Linked DNA regions of Struthio camelus. The protein of the gene in region 2 interacts with the protein of the main gene of each other region in a pairwise test. Links are inferred from orthologs where the notes say so. Each region holds a gene or a part of one and is shown on either strand. Other genes may lie near its edges.

Region 1 (3,902 bases), on a different chromosome or scaffold from region 2:
GGGCCGGCCTGGTCCTCTGGGAAACAGGGCTCTGCGAGGCGGCAGCAGGGAGAGGAGCAGGGCCGCCACGGAGAGGCGTGGGGAAGCCCCTGCCCTCCCGCCAGCTGGGGATCCTGTTATCCTGCCCTCCTTTCGGCAACCTCCGGCACCTCACACCACCTCCTGGCACCGGCCACCCGCCACAGACAGCAAGGCCCCCCCAAGCACAAGCCGCTTTGCAGGAGACTGCACCGCTTAGAGAAATCCCTTAATCCCCCAGCCCAGAACGGACAGTAATCCCTTGGGTGCAGCAGGATTACCACCGCTGCCCAATCCCCCTCACCCCGAGGCCTTGGGGCCGGTCCTGAGCCGAGACGGGACCCAGCTCAGGACACCGGTGCCTGCAGAGCCGGGATGGGATCAGGCTCCCTGCCAGCAGGCTGCTCGCCGGCGCCGCCGCTCAGCAGGGGCCAGAGCGGCCGTGACTTCCCCGGCCTGGGCGATTCCCTGCCAAGATACCTCCTTCCACCAGCGTTCCCGCCGGACACTGTGGCGTCTCCCAAGGCCAGCACGGAGCCCCGCCGGCCCCGATGCGCTTGCCACCTGCTATCCCAGCGCTTCACCTGCTCCGATCCAGGGATGGCTCCAGTTCTCAGTACCTTCCCTGCGGGGGAGAGGCTGAGAAGGGGGTAGGAGCAGAGCCCTTCACCTTGGCAGGGAGAAGGGGGAGAGAGCCCACATCTGTGCCGTCAGCTGCTTACCCAGGGATTTGCTCTCTGCTGAGGCAGACGGCTGGAGAGAGGTCGCGTACCGTGCACGCGGCGAGGCAGAAACGGGTGTCAGCAGAATCCCACCAGCAAGAGCCTACCCTGAGGGCTCCCACCATGTCAAGAGACCCCAGCAGATTGTCCGCTACAAAACCAACAGAGCTCAAGGGCTTTGGGACAGCACTAGGATCTGCTAGGGAAGCTGCAAACCACGATGCCCTACTTGACATTGGAGAGACAAGCAGCGTGGACTTGGAGGTAGCCGTGCTGCAAATCCTGTACACCACCCTGCGGCCCAAGCAGCTCGGTTAGCAGGCAATTTCTGATGCTGAAAAATGACCCAAGTCATCTTGCAGCCAACTCCAGGAAAAATCAAGCGGCTGCTCTCAGGATCCTTCCCTGCAGCGCTCTCCAGCTAACGGGCTATGTTTAATGCCTGAGCGTACAGGCACCTCGAGAGAGCTGCGTACCCGGAGAGCCAAGTGTTTATACCTTATCTCAAACAGTAACTCTGCAGCGTCAAACGCAGCCACTTCTGGGGCGGGACACAGCAGCCTCCTAATCTGCATTACACAACCGTTTCAGGCAAAAAGCAGCCCGTGAGCCAGCACGGGCAGCGGGCCCGAACCGGCGTCTCCGAGCTCGAGCAGAGCCCAGGGCGACCTCGACTCCCCGGAAGAACGATCGCTGGCACAGCCCAGGGCTCAGAGCATCCAGACCTGGGCTTCAGCGGGGCCTCACCCCAACAGCCCTACCTAATCAGTCCCCAGCAGCCTCCCCCCTCTACAGAGCCCTCGCTCAAAGAAAAGTCACCTGCCAGCTCACTGGAGCCTTTCCCATCCGGGCACACGCGCTACCTTTTCACCCTCGTGGACAGCGGGAGGGAACGTGCTTCGGACAGAGGGGACGGAGGAAGGCTGGGGAAACGCGTGCAAGGGAGGGAGCCCGCCACCGCCCCGGCAGCGGACCATGCTGCGGACGGGGCCGGGGGCTCCCGCGCCGCCCCGCTCTAGCGGTCTGCGAGGCGCTTAGCGGGCACCGCGAACCCGGCTCCCGCTCCCGGCGGGGGCGCAGGGGCCCGCTGCCGCCCGGATCCGGGCTGCAGCAGCCGAAGGCAAAGCGCGAGCGGCCGGCGCCCCCGCAGCCGGCGGCGGGGCTTCCCCCACGGCTAGCCGAGGAAGCCACGGGCCGCGGCGCCGGGCGAGGCAGAAAGCTCGAGGGGAAAGAGAAGCAGCCGCCGGCGCAGCGCGGGGGCCGAGCAGCCCGGCTGCCGGCCGGAGCCCGAGGGCGCCCGGCTCCCCCAGCGGCTCAGGGCGGCCGGAGCCCCCGGCCCGCCGACGGCGCCGCCTGCCGCGCCCGCAGCTCTCGGTTTCGGCAGCCGCTTCCTCAGCGGAGCTTCCTCCTCCGGCCCCGCGGGCGGGCGGCCGCGCCGGGCCCTCGCTCCACCGCCGCCTCTGCTGCCGGCGGCTCCCGCGGCCCCGGCGTCGCCGAGCGGGAGCCGCCCCGACGCCGGGCACGCGGGCACCGGCTCGCCTGGCCTCGCCTCCACCTGCGCCGCCAGGGCCGGGCCGGGCCCGTCCCGCCCCCCCGAGCCCCGCGGCGCCCCCCCCCCGACCGACCGACCGACCCCCGCCCCGCCGCCGCGCTCCCCCCGCCCCGCCCGGCCCGGCCCGGCCCGGCCGCACTGACCGTAGCCGCCCTCCTCGTCCATGCTGCCGCCGCGCCCCGCCGGAGCCGCTCCGCTGCCGCCCGCGTGACAGGGCGGCGCTGAGGCCGCCGCGGGCGAGGCCATGAGGCGCCGTCACGTGACGCGGGAGCGGGCGCGGCCTCCCGCCGCGGGGCGGGGCTAGCCGCCGGCGCGGCCCCGCCCACGCAGCCCCGCTCCCCCCCCCCCGCCCCCGACGGCCCCCACGCGAGACAGCGTTCACAAACTCCGTTGCTTTATTGCACCGCGATCTCGGCGACAAGCGGGGTCGGGGCCCGGGGGCCGCTCGCGCGGTGCCCTGCTCCCCCACCGGGGGAGGGGCGGTGGGGGCGCGCGGGGGGGACACCACCGTGCAGCACCCCCGCTGCCCGTCGGGTGACACGGATGCACTCCCCAGCCCGGCCCCTGCCCTAGGGCTCGTCGGCACGTACATAGCGCGGATAACGAAGCGATGCCCGCTGCAGCCCGTGCCCCACGGTGCCGGCAGGGCTGGAGCGGGGTGTGGGGCAGCACAGGGAGCAGCGGGGTGCAGGGGGGAGCAGGGCCCGGCCAGCGGAAGACTGAAGGGCTGCACCACGCCTGGTGCGGCACACAGACGAGGGGAAAGCAGCACCGGGCGGTGCGTGGCACTGTACGAGGCAGGCACGCCGTCAGCAAGAGGGGGGCAGCACCTCAGAGCACCAGCCCAGCAGCAGCAAACCGCCCCTGCTCCCAGAGCCCCAGTGGTGCAGGAACAAGCTCTGCCCCCCTTCCTGCCCCTTCACCCCCAGGAGGCCCAGGCAGGGCACACCACAGCCCCAGCTGCAGGAGGGCTGGAGCATGCCAGTGCTCTGCACTGGGACAGACAGAGCAGCACTGGGAAAAGGGGCCCAGCAGCAGGGCAGGGCGAGGACGGACTTGGAGCATGCCCTGGCAAGAAGCAGCTCCAGCACAAGGGGAGAGCCCCATGACAGAGCGTGCCCAGGAGGGACTAACAGCAGCCCTCGTGGTCCCAGCTATGCAAACCAGGGCCGGTGTCCCACTCCCCACAAGGCAAGCAGATGCCACTGATCACCTGAATGAGCCGTGACGATTTGCAGGCACTTTCCAGTGCAGCTCCCCAGAGCCTCAAAGCACAGGATGAGCATAGCTGGGAGAAGGGCTGCCCCAACAGCAGCACTGAGGGGAGCTGCAACTCCTGCTTTCTCTCTGTATGCCTGCATGAAGCTCCAGAACTGGTAACTGAGAGATAGCAAGGATGGAAGGAGCTCTGGCAGCTCCGAGCTCCAGGCTAGGGCAGAGCCCACGCTCGCAGGCATACAGAGGAGCTGCTGAGGCAGCTGCACGCAGCAGCACCCACAGCAGACAACACCTGGTCCAGGGCAGGGGAGAGGGGGTCCCCTCACCCTTGGAGCTCAACAGGCTCTTCCCCAGCTACTGCTGAGGGTCAGAAGTGGAGGGAGGCACTCATG
Region 2 (3,902 bases):
GGACGTTGCAACATGGGCCGCAGCAAGCCCATCAGACCCAGTTGCCACTCCAAACACCAGCCGACCCCACCAAGATAAGCCCAGTTGCTCAGTGCCTCCCGCTTTGGCTGCGTTTCGGAGGGGTGAGCAGCAGCACAAGCCTTCCTGCAAGCCCACCGGGAATCCCACAGTGCCACTGGGAAGAAGCAGGATACATCCTCCTGACAGCTCTTCTGCTCCCAACAGCACTGCAGGTACAAGGCACGCGGGGGCACAACGCTTCCCACGGCTGGTCCGGGCTCAGCATCTCTTTCGGCACTGGTGCGCACAGGGCCCGGCACGGGAACGGGGCATGAGCTCGCCCAGCCCTTTCCTTAGCCAGCTGGAGGTGACGCTATGCAGAAGGCTCCCGCTACGCCAGCCAGTGACCAGCACGGCTGCACCCTGCATGGCACCCGTCTACAAGGGGTGATGGCTGCAGCAAAGAGGACTCTTCCTGGGTGCAGTGTGCGGTCCAGGAGGAGGATAACACCTGGCCCCACAGGGCAGGATGCTCTGCGGCCGCTGTGCAGGGGGTTCACCCAGCCTCCAGCCCCAGCAGCCCTGCCTGGTGAGGATGAGACCAAATACTCCAGAGTGGGCTGAAGCATCGTGGTATCTACTGCTGAAACCACCCAACAGATAGCACTGGAAGGCAGGGGCAAACGGCTTCGGCTAGGGTAAGTTGGGCTGGTTGGTTTTGGGGTTTTTTTTTTTTTTTTTTTGGACCCGCCCACAGCCACTACTCTGACTTCCTCCTTTCTGACACCAACCAATTGTATAACAGAAATAGGAAGAAAAGATTAAAGCGTGTTGCAGAGCTCCCGATGACTGACCTCTTTTTCCAGCCGAGCAGGAGGAAGTTGAGAGCAAGCCAAGACCAACTTTTACTGCAGCCTGAAACACAGGAGCCCAGGAGACAACTTGATGCAAGGTGAATATAATATTCCTTCTTTCCGGACGGAGGCAGGTGGAGGGCAAGGAAGCACCTGTGGTGTTTCCAATGAATTTGTTTTATACTGCTTGATCTAATCTCTTGAGAAGTAGCCACTTGAATCCTGAGCTGTTTTTCAGAGCTCAGTGCATTGCCACAGCGCTCATTCCTTACTCCTTCCAAAGTGATGGTTGATCCAGCATAGCCTTTGCCAAGACAGACTTGACTAGTCTGTAATTTCTGTTGCTTTTGGAGGTAGAAGTAAGCCTGGAACTGGCGATTATTATTGGGGAAGGGGGTGGTGTCCAACCTGAGAGAGCATCTTCATCACCCTTCTGTAGGCCTGGAAACCAGAATAGAGAGGGTACAACTCGCTATTGCTCTGACCTGAGGTGCCCCCATCACATCCCTCGGCACAAGTAGAAATGGCTGCCGAGGAGACTCGCAGATGGGGCGTACGCAGCTGCCGCCACGAGCATGGCCCAAGGAAAGGGCTGGGGCGAGGGGTGGATGGGAGCACCAGCTGGCACAGAAGCAGAGGGCTGACATCAGCTGCCCGCACAGGAACCGGTGCCAGACCAGCCTGCGAGGGCTCCTCCGGCTTTAGAGCAGACCTACTTCTGCCCCCAGCGAGGATAGAAGGAGGATTCACCCCAAGCTTGGGAAACCTCCTTTTAGGGCACTTGTGAGCAATAGCTGCCCTCTCAGTGCTGCGCGCTCCATCTTGTCGGGGTCCTGCGTTCCGGAGAACAAACATCCAGCGTTTCCTCCTTCTGGGCCAACTCTTACACTAGCGTGCAGATACCCATGCAGCTACAGGATGTTACAGCTCATATAGGAACAAGGAACTAAACCTTGACTCAGCGCGCAGCGGCATGGCACGAGGGCAGCAAGGCTCCAGCTGCTGAGAAGTTCAGCCTTGATACCGCCTCCGACACGGTGGTGCGTCAGCATGCAAGGGGACATTCCCCAAGTTCCTACGCGCCTTGCGGGCCCGGGGCAGAGCGGAGGCTGCTGGGCTTGGTGGGGGCAGAACCCAGCCCTAAACCCTTGAGGGCGCAGATCCTTTCTCCATCACATCTTGTACCTGGGAACGAGCCCAGCTTTGCTGTAAGAAGGGGTCGGTGGCAGTACCGCTGGGACCCATGCCTGCCACCAGATTTACATTGCGTCAGGACTTGCTGAATTTGGGTACCTTTGCCTGGAAGAAGAGCTAGAGAAGGGGATGAGGCCCTTGCTCTTCTCCCCCTTCACCTGACACCGAATCATATGCTGATACTGATTGAAAACCCAGAGCAGGAAGGGGCAAGGCCTCCAGTTCTCGAGACACTTGCACCCTGGAGCAGGCAGGGAAGAGCAGGAGGCTGGGAAGATGAACAGGCTGCTGCAGGCAAACTAACCCTGGGCGAGAGCAAAGTCTCCTTTGTGTAGGTAAGAGTTTGCTGTCTAACACAGCAAAGAAGTAGTTTAGGATACATGGGAAATAGCCCAAGTGTAATGGAAAGGCTGGGATATACAGTCATTCTTAATTCTAGCGTCAGACTGTTTAAGACCAGACTGACTGCTGGTTTCGATGCATTTGAAAACACCACAGACCCAACCGCCCGCCTCTCAGGCGGATGAAAAGCAAACGTGTGAACATTCACAGAGGTATCTCACCCTGTTGCTCGTACAGGCGCATATGACTTCTGAGGCGTGTGTGAAAGCTATAGTAGGGAAATGCAACGTTTATAGCTGTCACATCCTGCTTTGCTCAGTGGTTTTGCACTTTGTCTGTCCTCTCCATCCCATGGCTATTTCTATTGCAAGACATTTCTATCCAGGGTGCACAAGAGCATGGTACAGAACAACTTATTTCCTCAGAGAAACAAATAACTCAATTCACTGTCCAAAAGGCTGGAGGAGACAGTGGTGACACCTCATCACTCCTGCCCAACATGACACAGACCCGTAGCCAGTGATTCCCACATGACCCCCTGAGCTGGGATCGCTCTACAGGTATTTTCAGAATGGCATTTGATACGGATATAAAGACACTATGCAACAGGGGACACGCTGCAGCCTGCCCAGGCTGTCCTGGCGATCACAGCCCAAACTTTCAGGGCAGTGCTGCCTACCCAGGGCTGAGCTCTGCCACAGTGGACCAACAGCCTTTGCAACTCTCGGGCTGCAACTGTGTAGGCTGAGCACTGTGCACCTCGCACTGAGCCTCAGGAAATTTGCTCTTTCCAGCCTCCCAAGCTGAAGGTGGCTCAGGACTCATGCCCTGGTCTGGACGTCAAGCTCTCAAGGCACCCGCAGGGCAGCGGTCGGGGCTGATGTCCGACAGGAGGCTCCATCATGCATGTACACAGGGTTAGGGACAAGCAGCCCAGCTTGCCACTGCTTTGGAGTACCATTGCCAAAAGGGGCAGGTGGTGCCTGCCAGGAGGAGGTTGCAAGGCTCACATCATTCAAAAAGCAGCTGGAGACAGGAGAAACTGGCACCACCACTCCTAAATGTCCAGAATGACGCAGGGCTCGACCCAAGGCTCGAGCTTGAGAGCTGCGGGATGGCACATGCCAGGAAGTTTGCAAAGTACACCGGAGAGCATTCATCCCACAGTCCATTCCCCTAAATGCTCTGGGGCTGCTAGAAGGAAAACACTCCTCATACAAACACGTCTAGAGAGCAAGCAGCTTTTTGCTGCGGGAAGTTTGGTGAGGGATCCTGAGCAGTCATAGCCATGCTTTTCTAACCTGTGCCTGGACCAGAGGTTGTGTTGTGAGCATAGGAAGTAGCAGATGTGGCTTGGAGGACCTCTGTGACTTTAGGGTACTTGTCTACATTGCGACTGTGTTTACCTATAAGAAGGGAACAGGGCCTCAGCAAGGCACATTTAGGTAAATATATCCCTGGTTAACCTATGACAAGTGCCACAGGACATCAGCATCAGTGACAGCAGGAGAA

What was found.
Region 1: the proteins of ITGB2 (region 2) and CYTH1 interact in a two-hybrid assay, tested with the Homo sapiens proteins (2 studies listed by BioGRID). The link is inferred for Struthio camelus from reciprocal best matches to the Homo sapiens genes ITGB2 and CYTH1.

Annotation. Positions count from the first base shown.
Region 1 is NC_090960.1:636,415-640,316, forward strand, and holds the start of CYTH1 (cytohesin-1), read right to left. Parts: upstream 2,569-3,902; 5' UTR 2,539-2,568; coding exon 2,436-2,538; intron 1-2,435. UniProt on the Homo sapiens protein: Promotes guanine-nucleotide exchange on ARF1, ARF5 and ARF6. Promotes the activation of ARF factors through replacement of GDP with GTP.
Region 2 is NC_090947.1:655,885-659,786, reverse strand, and holds the start of ITGB2 (integrin beta-2), read left to right. Parts: upstream 1-793; 5' UTR 794-952; intron 953-3,902.